Linked DNA regions of Saccharomyces cerevisiae S288C. Each later gene encodes a partner of the first gene's protein in a complex. Each region holds a gene or a part of one and is shown in the gene's direction. Other genes may lie near its edges. The genes, in order: ESP1 and PDS1.

The links.
Region 2: the proteins of ESP1 (region 1) and PDS1 are in contact, whole or in part, in a crystal structure (PDB 5U1S), measured with the Saccharomyces cerevisiae proteins. Residues at the interface, in NP_011612.3 of Saccharomyces cerevisiae: Lys110 (codon at 5,414), Leu113 (codon at 5,423), Met114 (codon at 5,426), Val117 (codon at 5,435), Lys118 (codon at 5,438), Ile120 (codon at 5,444), Asn121 (codon at 5,447), Asn165 (codon at 5,579), Ile168 (codon at 5,588), Leu169 (codon at 5,591), Gln172 (codon at 5,600), Lys176 (codon at 5,612), Lys205 (codon at 5,699), His207 (codon at 5,705), Ala208 (codon at 5,708), Lys211 (codon at 5,717), Ile212 (codon at 5,720), Arg380 (codon at 6,224), Asp383 (codon at 6,233), Val386 (codon at 6,242), Ile387 (codon at 6,245), Asn390 (codon at 6,254), Lys423 (codon at 6,353), Arg424 (codon at 6,356), Asn427 (codon at 6,365), Ser430 (codon at 6,374), Val431 (codon at 6,377), Phe433 (codon at 6,383), Asn434 (codon at 6,386), Val437 (codon at 6,395); in NP_010398.3 of Saccharomyces cerevisiae: Asp258 (codon at 2,278), Ile259 (codon at 2,281), Glu260 (codon at 2,284), Ile261 (codon at 2,287), Ala262 (codon at 2,290), Pro263 (codon at 2,293), Gln264 (codon at 2,296), Arg265 (codon at 2,299), Gln266 (codon at 2,302), Glu267 (codon at 2,305), Pro268 (codon at 2,308), Leu269 (codon at 2,311), Pro270 (codon at 2,314), Tyr271 (codon at 2,317), Val272 (codon at 2,320), Pro273 (codon at 2,323), Glu274 (codon at 2,326), Gly275 (codon at 2,329), Tyr276 (codon at 2,332), Ser277 (codon at 2,335), Pro278 (codon at 2,338), Phe279 (codon at 2,341), Gln280 (codon at 2,344), Gln281 (codon at 2,347), Asp283 (codon at 2,353), Ile284 (codon at 2,356), Lys286 (codon at 2,362), Leu287 (codon at 2,365), Lys288 (codon at 2,368), Thr289 (codon at 2,371).

Annotation. Positions count from the first base shown.
Region 1 is NC_001139.9:682,381-692,544, reverse strand, and holds ESP1 (separase), read left to right. Parts: upstream 1-5,086; coding exon 5,087-9,979; downstream 9,980-10,164. Other genes in the region: GTPase-activating protein MDR1, read right to left, coding at 1-2,300; TEL2 (Tel2p), read right to left, coding at 2,580-4,646. UniProt on the Saccharomyces cerevisiae protein: Caspase-like protease, which plays a central role in the chromosome segregation by cleaving the MCD1/SCC1 subunit of the cohesin complex at the onset of anaphase. During most of the cell cycle, it is inactivated by securin/PDS1 protein.
Region 2 is NC_001136.10:676,574-683,123, reverse strand, and holds PDS1 (securin), read left to right. Parts: upstream 1-1,506; coding exon 1,507-2,628; downstream 2,629-6,550. Other genes in the region: mitochondrial 54S ribosomal protein uL1m MRPL1, read left to right, coding at 1-400; mitochondrial 54S ribosomal protein bL34m MRX14, read right to left, coding at 632-949; YDR114C (uncharacterized protein), read left to right, coding at 898-1,200; alanine transaminase ALT2, read left to right, coding at 3,360-4,883; replication fork barrier binding protein FOB1, read right to left, coding at 5,322-6,550. UniProt on the Saccharomyces cerevisiae protein: Regulatory protein, which plays a central role in chromosome stability. Probably acts by blocking the action of key proteins.

The DNA of each region.
Region 1 (10,164 bases):
TCATCATCAGACAAGTCAATCAAGTTTACCTCCTCCGCGAGATCAACTGCTTTAGCATATTCAAAAGATCTTTGTAGGAAATTGCTTGCAGCTTTTAGGTATCTTTCTGCTTGTTCAACTTTATATTTTTCCTCATCAATAGTAACCCCAGTTGGTAACTCGATTTGGTTCATAGTGGCTATCTCTCCACCGCTTTCCTTGATGATGTTTTCAGCAATATCATCTTCAATGCGCTTTTTAGTTAACAGATCTACATATCTACCGCTCTTCCAAGGTTCCGTTAGCAGTAGCAGCCCTTCCGACAACTGTAGCACTTCTTCTCTATGCAATTCACCATCGCCATCTGTATCATATAAAGAGAAAAAATAGTTTATAGCTTGTAAAAGATCAACAGTTACCAGTTTATCCAAGCCTGTTACCACATCGTTCAATGTCAACTCGCCGATATGAGCAGAATCCCAGTTATCAAATAACCTTTGCAGAAAATTCCTTTTTTGTTTCCGGAAAGCTGGATCTTTGTCCTTTTCACACGGTCTACAGGAGTCACAGAATTTACTCAAGAACTGAATGAATACTTCGAAACCCATATTAGATGATCCCGTTCCCATACTAATTTTGTAGGTTTCTATACTTTGGTAAAACATGTCATAGATATTGGACAAGTCATCACTGGACAGGTTGAAAGTTTTTGGCATATGGCGCAGTTGCGTTCTTTTCATGAAAGTCTCAATGTTTTGAAAAATACCTTTCTCATATTTGTGTCTTGCATGCATTGCCATTTCCTCGCTGATGACACTAAACTCTTTGAAAGCCGTAACTAACAGCTCTTGAAATTTCGTGATTTGTCTATATTTTATATCGCTTGAATCTGGGTGAGCACTTTGTCCCAGAGTTTGGAAATAGTGCTTAATTATGGCAATGAACATTCCATCATCATCGGCTTGTAAGATATCATCTGCATTTATCTTCAGAACTGCTAATGCCACCTGAAATAGAGTAATAGAACCGTTCATAAAAAAAATATCCATTATTCTAACAGCATATTCTAGAGGCATTGAAGTGAAAAACAAAGACAAAAACCAAGGTAAAGACACCACAGATAGTTGAATATCATGCTGTAAAATGTATTCCCAAAGAACCGGCATTCTGTCCTCTACAAAAGACTCGAACACTCGTTGGTCTAACAATGTACCGTACATCGTCTTTGAGTAATAACCTGGAACATAGATGTCACATAGATTACACAAGCACCAAAAAGCCTGCTCTTCAGACATAAAGATTAAAAATCCTGCAACAACTATATTCATGGCCTGGCAATATCCAACATCAGGGTTCTTCCACGAATAAGCTGTCAGAACATTTCTCAACCTTTGAATACCTTCTTCAGTCTGGTATGCTGAGTATTCGGGCAGCGATCTCTTCAAATCCTTCTCAATTTCGTCGATAGCTTGCGATGTTTTACCAGCATTCTCGTTTAATATCCTTTCGTACTCCCCAGAATTTGCATAACGCATATACATTGCACCTGAACATAGTTCCCAAATTTCACCTCTCATTCGATTTGGAACACCGATTCTGATTAACTTTCGGAACATAGGAGTTTGCACAACTGCCAAATTCCTTCCATTCTCTCTGAAATAATCGAACCATAGCCTCAATTTAGCCTTTTCTTTTACCATAGTAGGATTACCGGGATACTTGAAATGTTGTCCTAGACCTGCCCTGGGTACAGTTATGTCCTTTTTACCTAGAATATTTTTAGCAATTAAGAACTCCGAATATGAGGTTTCTAGAAAAGCAGGTAAAGTTTTGGCATTAGGAATATTTTCTTTCAAATTTAGTTTCAATTTGTCACAAAACTGCTCCGATCTATAACGTATACCGATAAATTGAATCAGAACCTTTGCTCCTGTGTACAAAGTTACTAGAAGAGCAAATTCATATGATTCGGATGGCGACCTCTCTACACGTTTAATGGTAGAAATATTCAGTATTAGTACGCACGATGAATGATCAAATGCATCTCGAAATACCAGAAAATGAGGTGTTAAAAACAATCTCCCGGAATACACATAAGCAGTTTTTCTCCCTTTATTGTTCACTCTATCAGAATGCCCTTTTCCATCTTTAATGGAAGTTGCAAATGAAACTTCTGCATTCGTATCTTCCAAAATGTTTTCATTAGCTGGAAGTTTATATTTTAATCTGAATTTCTCATCTCTGGTTAATGTTGGAGTGAAACTGTCTGCCAGTTTATCCAAAAAGGGTGCCTTTTGACGTAAAGAATCAAAAAATGACATATCCTATCCTTTAACTAATAATTGTATCAACTCTGAGGTTGTTCGGTGCTTTAATTGATGGATCAGTGCTTTCAAAATGTACAATTTCTTAAATGTTGTTGGGCCCTTACCAAGCAGATTTGTTCAGGCCTTTTCTTATTGAAGTTCTTTTTCCCAGTTGCAGGAGTCGGCCGACCTTCTGAAATAATATGCTGTGCATTAAATACTAACGACGCTGACAGAGAACGCACTAAATTTATTCAAATATGTATCATAAGATTGGTACAAATAACTATGCTACTAACCTTTATTGAGAGAAATTCCTTCCTCTATGGCTGAACTAATTATATGATTCATCAACTCCGTCATGGATTCAAAATCGTGGACCGGGTTAGCGCAAGAGTATATGATACGCAGTGTTGTTAAATAATGCGACTTAAAAAGCTGATTGTATGTGCCTACGTCAATTCCATTAAGCCAACCGTGTGCTAGCGGATAGAAGAATAGACCAGCATATTTTCTAAAGCGGTTTTGCGTTCCTTTTTCTCGATCCTTGCCTAGTTTTCTAGATTTCCATACTGTTTTCGTCTTCTTTATCATACTTGTTGACTCTTGAACTTCAACAAGCCTACTATTATGATGGCTTTGATCATCCCACGGTAAACGATTTGTTGGAAAATCAAACTTGGGCTTGACAATAGTAGGATCATCAAGCCCTCTCAACTCTCTTGCAGAAAGACCCAGAGCCGACAATAGTGACATCCTTTGCTGTAACGACAGTTCTGAATTGAATAGAATATTTATAGCGCCATTCACCTTCTCTGGAAGGACGACCAGTATGCTTGTTAGAGCGTTTATTCTCCACTGCTCGAAAAGCGGTTCATCAAATTCATTATTCAAGCACACAATGCTTGACAGAATACCTTGTGCATAATAGCCAACCTCTAACTGAAAATCCGCCTTTTGCCGTATCAATTTCACTGTTTGCTTCAGAAGTGGTATCAATGGAGCTTTTCGAGATTCCCCAGTTTTTTCGTATTCTTTCATTAAATCTTTTAAAAATACAATTCGTTTAACAATCTCCCGCTCATCGTTCTCATCTTCATCATCGCTATCACTGCAGTCCAATGTAAGGCTTTGAACATGACCCGAGACCTCAGTAATCTTATCCTTACCCACATCAGTTTGGGTATTGCATATGGATGGATTTTTTAAAGATTGGAAATCAATGATTTTATCATCGCTATTGCTTTCGAATTTGACATTCGGTATATTGATTTTAAAATCACTTTCGTACTTCAGATGACCGCCTGATAAAAGCTTGGCAATAAACATCGCACGCTCCCTTGCCTCACGTTCATTGCTACCTAAATGTTTGGTCACGCCATTCAAAAACCGCTCATCGTGTGCTATTTCCTCTCTCTGGGAATGATTGAGATTGTGCACTGCAAAGAGTACAAGCAATTCACATGTCTTTGTGTCTACTTCCTCATCTGTAAAATCAGCAAATTTACTTACCAAAGCGCTAACAAACTTCGTGGAAGAGTGGTTGCTCATCAGACGTACTATCACTTCCTTCAATGGCAGCGACTGTATTTCAAATAATACGGACAGACTTATGATTTTATCGAGATCAAACCGCCGCAGAATTTTCCTAACATCGTTCAAATTTTCTAAAGTCACGATAACTTGAATATATGGTAATAAAAACTTAGCAATCAGCCTCTTTTGATCTATCAGACTACTAGCAGATATGATTTTCTGAAAAGAAAAGAAATACGACTCTTTCAATAAAAATAATTCGCCTAATAACATATCTGCCGCTAGCACTGGGTTAAGCAAAAATGATGAAACTAACCATTCCCCTAAAAACCCAGGTGGATCTGTTTCATTACTCTCAAGTAGAAATTTCCACTGAAGCCGAAGGTATCCCAAATATTTCGCCATATCAATTCGGTTGGCCAACACATTAAATAACTTGCTCCCAAAGAAAAGGGCCTTAATGCTATCACGGTCTGCTTTGCTAGTAGTGCTTGCCTTTAAATAAAAAGTCAAACATCCCGGTTCAAAACTGATGATGTCTTCTAAAATTTCTTGGTATATGCGTATCTCTTGCAGTCCATCGCGGCCACTTATTGTCCTTGAGAAGGTGACAATTTGGCATAAAAATGTAAACGATTTAGAAGCTAGCCGTCTCAATATCACCTTCGATCTTTCTGGTAGTGATGGATAAACTGGAATTACGAATTTTATGAGAACCATCGAGGCATCTAGATCCACCGGTTCGCGAGGATAGGAATCTAGTTGTATTAAAGCTTCATGTATTTGACTGCTGTCAAGCCCTTGTTTCAGCGTTTCTAAAACCATTTCATGAGGAATTAAATGCGTATAAAGTAGCTCGATTCACGTTCTATTAGCGGCAACCTGTCCACAAGTACTTATTGTCTGCATTTCTTGGTGTTTGTTTTTATTTTCTTTCTTTTCAAACTTCACGGGTCTTTACAGAAAAGAGGTAAACAAACAAAAACAAGAACATGGATACAAAGCCCATCCACGTAACATTGCGCATTTGAAGCGAGAAGCTTACCACAATTAGTTAAATTCCTTTTGGAGGAATATAGACACTCTATCATCAGAAACATCCGAATTATTTTAGTTAGGACACGTTTCACAGGAGCATCTGGCTATAGCATATTTTTCTTTTCCTTCTAACTGCGAGCATAGTAAAAAGTTGACCTAAACCCAACATTTTTGAGGCTAACCTAGTAATAATTTAACCTAGGCACGAAGTGCTTATAAATTAAGGAATGATGGTAAAACAGGAGGAACCGCTGAATGAGATTAGTCCGAATACTCCGATGACTAGCAAGTCCTACCTTTTAAACGACACGCTTTCGAAAGTACATCATAGTGGCCAAACTAGACCACTGACCTCGGTGTTGTCTGGAGACGCCTCATCCAATTCTATTGGCATACTAGCAATGCATAATAACATAATACGTGACTTTACAAAAATTGCAAGCAATAACATAGACTTAGCCATTGAGGATATTACCACTGTTGACCATTCATTAAATTCAATATATAGCCTATTGAAGAGCCATCACATGTGGGGCCATATAAACTCCACTGTTAAACAACATTTGATGATAATTGTTAAACTAATAAATAATAACGCATTAGGATTGGCCTCCTCTGAAATTATTTTTCTTTTCAATGAAACGAATTTATTTCAAGCTCATAGTCTGAAAAACATTCTTCTAGCAGACTTCAGTACGTGGAACGACTACTATCTTTCAAATCTGAAAATATTAGCGCTGCAGATTATACTGAAAAGAAAGCTAGTAGACGAATACTTACCGCATATATTAGAACTATTTTCCCATGATAAAAGATATCTTTTGAAAGACCCTAACCTCAAAGCTCACGCTCTCACAAAAATCGTGCTGAGCTTTTTTTCTGTCACGACGAGTTGCAAAGTTCTATTCGGGCTAAAATTTCTACAATATATCAAACAGTTCAAATTACCTTTTAAAAAGTTCATTAGCAACATTACCGTCGAGTGTTTTAGCAAAAACCTTCTTCATAAAAATTATTTGGAGATGGGACCTAATAAAATATATTTAAATTCATTTTACTTATCCTATTCCATGCTGTACGATGGATTGGATAAAATAATGCTTCTAGACATTTTAAGTTACGAAGAAACTACTGAGGTACAAAGAGCGATAAAAAGTAAAAAAGAATTCAATGAATACTGCAACATGAGTGAAAACCGTCTTCTCTGGTCCTGTATATCTGTCGATGATTTGAACGTAATACTCGAAAATGCAACGAATTTTCTACAAAATAAAGGGAAACATATATCCGCAACATTAAAATGTTTAGTCTGTCTTTGGTCTACTATTCGCCTAGAGGGATTACCTAAAAATAAGGATATATTGAGGCAGTTTGATTGTACTGTTATTTATATCAACTCAAATATTAAATCCATTAATGACGAATCTGCGGCGGCATTATTATCCGAACTTCTGGGAGTTTTATCAGAAATTTGTATCGATTATAAAGAGCCTAAACGACTGTCAAATATTATCAGTGTCCTTTTCAATGCTTCTGTTTTATTTAAGAGTCATTCGTTTTTGTTAAAGACTGCTAATTTGGAAATCTCAAATGTTTTAATCAGTAATGATTCAAAAACATCTCATCGTACTATACTGAAATTTGAAAAATTTATATCTAGTGCTCAGAGTGCCCAGAAAAAAATTGAAATCTTTTCCTGTTTGTTCAATGTATATTGCATGCTACGAAATGATACGCTATCATTTGTTTTTGACTTTTGCCAAAATGCATTCATTCATTGCTTTACACGCCTAAAAATCACAAAATTCATCGAGTTTTCAAACAGTTCAGAAATTATGCTTTCAGTACTGTATGGAAATTCATCTATCGAAAACATTCCTTCCGAAAATTGGTCACAACTAAGCAGAATGATATTTTGCTCACTGAGGGGTATCTTTGATTTGGATCCTTTAGAGCTAAATAATACGTTTGATAAATTACACTTGCTCAACAAATATGAGCTATTAATACGAATAGTGTACCTATTGAACCTGGACATGAGTAAACACCTGACAACGAATCTATCGAAAATAACTAAGCTGTACATAAACAAATGGCTACAAAAATCAGATGAAAAGGCCGAGAGAATATCGTCATTTGAAATGGACTTCGTTAAAATGCTATTGTGCTACTTGAACTTTAATAATTTTGATAAGTTATCCATTGAACTTTCACTCTGTATTAAATCAAAAGAAAAGTATTACTCCAGTATTGTGCCTTATGCCGACAATTATTTGCTAGAGGCTTATCTGAGCTTATATATGATTGATGATGCCCTCATGATGAAGAATCAACTACAAAAAACAATGAATTTATCAACGGCGAAAATAGAGCAGGCGTTATTACATGCAAGTTCTTTAATAAATGTCCACTTGTGGGACTCTGACTTGACAGCGTTTCAAATATATTTTGGAAAAACACTGCCTGCTATGAAGCCTGAATTATTTGATATCAATAACGACCACAACCTACCCATGTCACTTTACATCAAAGTCATACTTTTGAACATAAAAATTTTTAATGAAAGCGCGAAATTAAATATTAAAGCTGGTAATGTTATATCCGCAGTAATTGATTGTAGAAAAGCACAAAATTTAGCATTATCGTTGCTCAAAAAGAAGAACAAATTGTCACAAGGATCCAGGCTAGCATTACTAAAAAGTCTATCGTTTAGTTTTTTCCAACTCATTAAAATACATATACGCATTGGTTCTGCCAGAGACTGTGAGTTCTACAGTAAAGAACTGTCTAGAATTATTTCTGACTTAGAGGAACCTATTATCGTCTACAGATGTCTGCATTTTCTTCACAGATACTATATGATTACAGAGCAAACCTGTCTTCAAAATATAACTTTGGGAAAAGCCAATAAGGCATTTGATTATCTTGATGCTGAGGCAGACATTACAAGTTTGACAATGTTTCTGTATGATAATAAGGAATTTGTAAAGTTAGAGCAGTCGTTGGTCCTATATTTCGGTGACCAGCTAGAAAAAACATTCCTACCTAATTTGTGGAAGCTTCACTTGGGTAAGGATATTGACGACAGCATTTGTCTGTCCGAATATATGCCCAAAAATGTAATCAATAGAGTACACAATATGTGGCAAAAAGTAATGAGCCAATTGGAGGAAGATCCTTTCTTCAAAGGTATGTTTGAATCTACCCTTGGGATTCCCTCTTCTCTGCCTGTTATTCCTAGCACGATGCCCAACAACATTTTAAAAACTCCTTCCAAGCATAGTACAGGATTGAAGCTTTGCGATTCACCAAGATCGTCGAGCATGACGCCTAGAGGTAAGAATATAAGACAGAAATTTGATAGAATTGCTGCTATTAGTAAATTAAAACAGATGAAAGAACTTTTGGAGAGTTTGAAACTAGACACATTAGATAATCACGAACTGTCCAAAATTTCCTCCCTTTCTTCATTAACTCTGACTATCCTTTCAAACATAACTAGTATCCATAATGCTGAGAGTAGTTTGATAACTAATTTTTCGCTAACTGACTTGCCAAGGCATATGCCTTTGTTATTCGATAAGGTATTGAATAATATTGATAATAAAAATTACCGAGAATTTCGCGTTTCATCACTAATAGCTCCGAACAATATATCCACAATTACAGAGAGTATTAGAGTATCTGCCGCCCAGAAGGACTTAATGGAGAGCAACCTTAATATTAATGTTATAACTATTGACTTCTGTCCCATAACTGGAAATTTACTTCTATCCAAATTAGAACCGCGACGTAAGAGAAGGACGCATTTAAGGCTACCGCTAATACGATCTAATTCAAGAGACCTCGACGAAGTTCATCTCTCATTTCCGGAGGCTACAAAAAAACTACTTTCTATTATCAATGAAAGCAACCAAACGACGTCAGTGGAAGTTACCAACAAGATTAAAACAAGAGAAGAAAGAAAATCTTGGTGGACCACAAGATATGATTTGGATAAAAGAATGCAACAATTGTTGAATAACATTGAAAATAGTTGGTTCAATGGCGTTCAAGGGTTTTTTAGCCCTGAAGTAGTCGACAACTCGTTATTTGAAAAATTTAAAGATAAATTTTACGAAATTCTGCATCAAAATCTTCCTTCCAGAAAACTCTATGGCAATCCGGCAATGTTTATAAAAGTTGAAGATTGGGTAATCGAATTGTTCTTGAAACTTAATCCGCAAGAAATCGATTTTCTTTCGAAGATGGAAGACCTGATATACTTTGTTCTTGATATTCTTCTCTTCCATGGTGAAGAAAATGCTTACGACGAAATTGATTTCAGCATGCTTCACGTGCAGTTAGAAGAGCAAATAAAGAAATATAGGGCAACTATGACAACTAATAGTATATTTCATACATTTTTAGTCGTTAGCAGTTCATGCCATTTATTCCCTTGGGAGTGTCTTTCATTTTTGAAAGATTTGTCTATCACACGTGTTCCGTCCTATGTTTGTCTGAATAAACTTTTATCGCGTTTCCATTACCAACTACCCCTTCAAGTAACTATTGAGGACAACATTAGTATGATATTAAATCCGAACGGAGATTTGTCCAGGACTGAATCTAAATTCAAGGGTATGTTCCAAAAAATAATCGATGCAAAACCTTCCTCTCAATTAGTGATGAACGAGAAGCCGGAAGAGGAAACACTTTTGAAAATGCTGCAAAATTCTAACTTATTCGTTTATATAGGGCATGGCGGAGGTGAACAATATGTAAGGAGTAAGGAGATTAAGAAATGCACCAAAATTGCCCCCAGCTTTTTACTGGGCTGCTCTTCAGCAGCGATGAAATATTACGGCAAGTTAGAACCTACTGGAACAATCTATACTTATTTGCTGGGAGGATGCCCTATGGTACTAGGTAATCTGTGGGATGTAACTGACAAAGATATTGATAAATTTAGCGAGGAACTTTTTGAAAAGATGGGATTTCGCTGTAATACTGACGATTTGAATGGTAATAGCCTATCTGTTTCATATGCCGTCTCTAAATCTAGAGGTGTATGCCATCTACGTTACTTGAACGGCGCAGCTCCTGTTATTTATGGGTTACCGATCAAGTTCGTATCATAATTGTTACATGTACTGGCTGTTTCGAAAAGATTTCATATAGGCATTGAGAAAAAGCATGGGAAATCCGATTTTGTTCTTATATCCAAAAATAATAAGTAAAAGAACCTGGGATTGATAAAAAAGTTTCATCTTTTTAGTATAGTTCATAATAGTAATTTTCATTTCATTATTGGGCACCTCATGGT
Region 2 (6,550 bases), on another chromosome or scaffold:
AGATCTTGTTGCCAAAATTAAAAGCGGTGAAATTAGCGTTGATTTTGACAAAGCATTTGCAACTCCTGATATTGTTCCAGCTTTACAATCGCAGGTGGCCAGGATACTTGGTCCTCGTGGGGTTTTACCCTCTGTCAAAAAAGGTACGGTGAGTGATGATATAAGCTCCTTACTTCAAGAAAGTCTAGGATCTATGCCTTTCAGGCAAAGGGGAAACTCTATCAGCATTGGAGTCGGCAAATGCTACTTCACTGATCGAGAAATTTTACAAAACATTATATCCGCTAGAGCGGCATTTAAAACTGCTGTTGATAATCAAAAATCTAAGAAACCAAATATACTGAGTAAAACCACATTATCAAGCACACATGGCCCCGGTATTGTAATCGATTTTGCTTAATCAGCGAATCAGTTTTGTCTTGTTGGACTTTTTTAATTGTATATATATATATACTGGTGCATTTTCTTTCTTTTTATATAAAATCATGTACATACAAAGTAACCGTCTTTTTAAAGTGGAATAAAGTAACTGCTCTTTTATTTTTGAATAATAGTGAAAGTGTATGTTGCATAATCATTAGATACCTATGTACAAGAAGTATTCAAATTTATCTGAATAGTATGTGAAATTTCAATGAGACAAAAACCACCTACCTTTGAGCTTCCTCCTTTTCAATATCTTAGAGCCCTGTTTGCTCTTGGCCCTAGCCAAGAAACCAAAAGTTCTCTTCCGTTTCAATGTACTAGGTTGATAGGTGTTACCCCTTGATTTCCATCTTCTTTGACCTATTAAGCCAAATCCCAACGGTGTGAAGGACGGAGTCTTCAATGGTGAACTGTTTAAGAGCATACCGGTTTGTGGGCGTAACACAGATAGAGCAGAGAAAGAAGATATAGATGAAAACATTCTTCTTGATTGAGGCTGGCAGAGCCTTGCAAATAGTGGCATTCCGTCCTGCGATTACTACTGTTCTATTCCAACGTTTCTCAGTGAGTTTCTCCTGTAGTTATTTCACTTGTTGTACCTCACAGCTTCTACGGGAAAATTGGCTTTTCAAATTCCTTACAGCTTTCGATCACGTGATCCGAGCTTCAAATGACCTTTCGACGATGCGTTTCATGATTATGTATATATATGTATATATATATATCTATACAGTCTTAAGGAAGCGCTTAAGTTGTTACATGTTAATACTTTAGGGTTGGATTTATTTTACGGATAACATAGGATTTGCGAGAAATATCTGCTTCACTATCACTTTCCGTGCGACGTGTGTATTTGTTAGCGTAGGTTGCTTATCGTTTTCACACAAAGATCTCAAACGCGTCAAAAAACTCGTGTAAGAGGTCAAAAAGAAAAACAAACAAAATAAACAAACAAAATAAATGCAGCTTTAAATCAATATTCGGCGAAGGCAAGTAACGGTTGCTAGCGGTTTTTCCCATTCACATACTATTACACTTCTGCGGTACCAAGCTAGATTAAGTGCTAGATAATAAACCTTTATGATGCCAGCTAACGAAGATAAAGAGAATAATATCGTATATACAGGGAATGAAAGTTCCGGCATTAACTTTCCACAGACGCCGGCTCACTTGCTGAAAAGGTCGCACTCTAATATTTTAAAACCACCTGTAAGATTGGACCAACTCAAAAGGGATGCGAACAGCAACAATGGCAACACATTAAAGTACATACAAGGAGGGAAGGAGGTGTCACCCACAAAAAGGTTGCATACCCATGCGCAACAACAAGGAAGATTGCCTCTGGCAGCAAAAGACAACAATAGATCGAAAAGCTTTATTTTTCCCGAAACTTCTAATCAGAGTAAAGATGCAGACTTACCACAACTACAGAATACACTATCTATACGCAAAAACGACCAACTCAGGAAACTTTCGCAAATTTCTCGCAGTCGTAGTAGGGCCAACCATAATGATTTGTTAAGCAATTCAAGAAAGTTACAAAAGTACGGTTCTGTCCTTGGTTATAATGCTTTACCTAAAATGAAAAGTCTAGTTTTAAAAGATCTTGCAGATTCAGGTAAAAATGAAGAGAGTTCCGACGATGATGAAGGTAATGAAGATTCCGAGAGTAAACTTGGCAAAAAACTCCAAAGTGCACTTTTAAAACAGGATTCCTCCGACGGTGAAAATGAATTAAATGGTGGCCTAGGACTATTTAATGAGCAAGGTGGTCTGCAACAACTCATAAAGAACTCCACGAAGAATGAGCAAAAAACTAAAAACGATAAAAGTGATAAAACTGATGACTATGATATCGAAATAGCACCACAGAGGCAGGAGCCGTTACCGTATGTACCAGAAGGCTATTCCCCATTTCAACAAGATGATATTGAAAAGCTGAAGACGTTCAACTCACCATATAAGCTTGACTTGGAAGACGAAGATGACACCCCAGATAAAGTTGATTTACTCCCACTAGAACAAATTGATGAAGAAGGCGAAAAAGATGAGACTGAGTGCATCACTCGGAATCAAGAAGAAGGTGCAGCGTTACCACTGCTGTCTAAGAACTTCAAAGAAGTTGCCGCCGTCCCAACCATGGAGTTAGTGTACAGCGAAGAAGGCCTCGATCCTGAAGAACTAGAGGACTTAGTTACTTAGATCCACTGCTCATTCACATACACACAACATATATACACGTATATACAGATACTTTATAACATACAATTCTGGTTAAAAGCGGTTGCTCCTGCCGCCGGGATTTAATCTGCGGCCTCACCCATACCTCAACTACCGCCATTGTTCGTACGTTTTAAATGGCTTCGCTTCACCCTTGATTGGCAAAGGGTCCAAGAGGGATCACATCACGATACTATTGTTTCTACTAATGTGCTGCGGGCTGATGTCCTCCACACGTCTTCAATTGCTTCTCTTTATGGGTTCTCAAAGTACTTCGTCATAATTACTTCATTATACCTAAGAAAATAATTTCATTTTTTTTCTGAATTTTTTAGCAGAAAAAAAAAAAGTTCAAGTTTGGCCTCATTCGCAATATTTTCTCCATGGAAACGGCTTGTATCTTGAGGCTTCTCCTACTTGTTTGGCGATTTTATTTTATTTTTCCTACTCTTATGGTCCCATATGTACATCTACATATCTCTTCAAATTACCAATACACTTTTAGGATAGCTAAATTTACTACTTCGTGTGGGAACTATATTCTGTTCACTTTTCTTTTTGATCCTTTCTTGACTGACATCATCCTTTTCTCATTCAGTAAATACCCCAATATTTCCTCATATCTCTAGAGGCATAAAAGATAAGAATAAAGGGAAGGAGCGCCACAGTAGTGTTGTTTTTGTAAGTGGTAAACACAGAAGAAGTAAGAACACATGACAATGACACACCAACAGGATTTGAAAGGTGTGTTCACCGCAAAGGATTTGGATTTTAAGCCCGCTGGCAAGATTACTAAAAAAGATTTGAATACAGGTGTCACTAAGGCAGAATATGCTGTAAGAGGAGCTATTCCAACCAGAGCTGACGAGCTAAAAGAGGAATTGAAAAAAAACCCAGAAGTTTTGCCTTTCGATGATATTATCAATGCGAACATTGGTAATCCGCAGCAACTGGATCAGAAGCCTTTGACCTTTACCAGGCAAGTACTGGCCATCCTGGAGTACCCGGAAATTTTACGAGTAGGCCATAATGAACTGGCTTCTTTGAACTTGTTTTCCAGGGACGCCTTGGAAAGAGCTGAGCGCCTCTTGAATGATATTGGCGGTTCTATAGGGGCATATTCGCATTCTCAAGGTGTGCCAGGAATAAGGCAAACAGTTGCTGACTTCATTACTAGAAGAGACGGCGGTGAGCCCGCTACACCGGAAGATATTTATTTAACCACTGGCGCTTCGTCCGCGGCAACTTCTTTGTTATCTTTATTGTGTAAAGATTCTCAAACAGGCCTGCTGATTCCAATTCCGCAGTATCCGCTTTATACTGCATCCGCATCTCTTTTCAATGCACAAGTGCTGCCATACTACTTAGATGAGGAGTCAAATTGGTCTACAAACAGCGACGAAATTGAAAAAGTAGTGCAAGATGCTTTGAAAAAACAGATCAGACCATCTGTGCTGATAGTTATTAATCCAGGTAACCCAACCGGTGCAGTTCTTTCTGAAGAAACCATTGCCAGGATCTGTTTGATCGCTGCGAAATACGGCATTACAATCATTTCTGATGAGGTCTATCAAGAAAACATTTTCAACGATGTTAAATTTCATTCGATGAAGAAAGTCCTAAGAAAATTGCAGCATCTTTATCCAGGAAAATTCGATAACGTTCAGCTCGCCTCTTTACACTCCATTTCTAAAGGATTCATGGATGAGTGCGGCCAAAGAGGCGGTTACATGGAAATTATTGGGTTTTCTCAAGAAATAAGAGATGCTCTTTTCAAACTCATGTCTATATCCATATGTTCTGTTGTCACAGGACAAGCTGTGGTTGATTTAATGGTCAAACCACCCCAGCCTGGAGACGAGTCCTATGAACAAGATCATGACGAAAGGCTGAAAATTTTTCATGAAATGCGTACGAGAGCAAACTTATTGTACGAGACGTTTAAGGAACTAGAGGGTATCGAATGCCAAAAACCTCAGGGTGCAATGTATCTTTTCCCTAGGCTTGTTTTACCTAAGAAAGCTCTTTGTGAAAGCGAACGCCTTGGCATCGAACCTGATGAGTTCTATTGCACATCTTTGCTAGAATCTACAGGTATTTGTACTGTCCCAGGGTCTGGGTTCGGACAAAGACCCGGGACTTATCATGTGCGAACAACGTTTTTGGCTCCAGGGACTAAATGGATTCAAGACTGGAAAGAATTTCATCAAGATTTCTTCAGCAAGTATCGTAATTGAATGAAAAAAAAAAACTAATGATAATGGCTTTCTATTTGTTTTGCATCCATGGTGGGGGTGAAGTTTAAATTTGTAATAGTATACATGCATCATTCTTTACTAAGGGAAATAAGGAAAAGTATATATCTGCCTCTTGTAATATTGTTCAAGGAAATAAATTTTGGAGCATTCCTCTGCATCTATTGTTCAATTAAAAAAAAAAAAAAAAAAAAAAAAAAAAAAAAAAAGTAATTATTCATATAAAACCACCTTGCGGGCAAGATCATATTATCCAAGTTGATACTTATTTAAAAATATAAAAATTTTTTAACCGCGTACATTAAATACAGGGTCATATACAGGAAGAGCTTTCAACACCTTTTTGAATACTTTATATGCAATAGGTGCTTTTTTTTTTCACCTATGGTGACTCCTCCTTTCATTCTATCCTACATATTATTACAATTCCATTGATGTGCCAAAGTCTCTTGTTTGATCTCCATTACCCTGTTGGTCTAATTTCTGTCGTTTTGTTGACGGCGATTCCAGAGTTTGATAGTAGGAAGTTTCTGGTCTAGTTATTTCGACACTTTGATCTACTTGTGATGCACCGTCACTTTCTTTTTGATCCCCTTTTTCAGGCTCTTCTGTTCCCTGCATTGGGGCTGCCACGCCGGTGGACTCTATTCGGTCCTCATCGACATTATGAGGAGGCTTTTCTTCGGGAGTTAAGGTATTAGGTTCAAATTCGCCCTCTGAAGAATCATGTGCCAAATCATCATACTCATCGATATAGTTTTTTTCAGTTAGATCAAATTGTTTTTGCACTTCTTCTTCAAAGTTATCATTTCCTATATTGTTATTATGAAGAATTCCATTATTGTTACAGCTATTATCCGCTTCATTAGCAAGGGCAAAAGTATTGACATCTTCCAAATATATAAGACCTTTTCCACCTGCCATCTTGAACATATTACGGGAATATGTGTTTTCTATAACCCTTTCTCTCTTAGTCTCAAACTTGGCATTGTGACCTGGAACTTCACTAAGTAGTACTTGCACAGGTTTACGTTTCGTTCTCTTATTTCTCCTTCGGTTGAATCTGTAAGGGCCATATCTTAGGCACTTACCCCAATCGGCTAGACATTCCTTCTTATAACTATTTAGAGCATACTGAATGCACAGTATACCCCCAGTATGAAATCTCGCAGAACTCTTCAAACCCAAGCCAATACGGAGACCGTATTTTGATGCAATTTCTTCACAAATATCATAAAGATCATCTTTATCTAAAGTGCTTGATGTTACGAAAATTGGAACCCTAGCAAATGTTAAAAAAAGTGAGGAAACAACTGGGATAAGATGTTTGAATTTGGTACTCTTAAGTGGTAATAACCACATAAAACTAGAGCGATAGTCTCGGCATAAAAGGACATAAGAATATTTTCCCTCAATAGCTTCTCCATTGAAGGGTTCGAATACCTCAATATGTATCCTTTCCATTGGTAGTAGTTTATCGTACATGTCAGGACGTTTATATTCCTTCAATGGTTTAATTTTGCCCTTTTTATTACATTTTGAACAAAATTGCTGGACCCAATCGATGATGGCATGACTAATATTGGCAAAATGAGAAAATAAAAAGGAATGTAATGTTTTACCCCTAAGATGCTTATTCATCAAGTGTG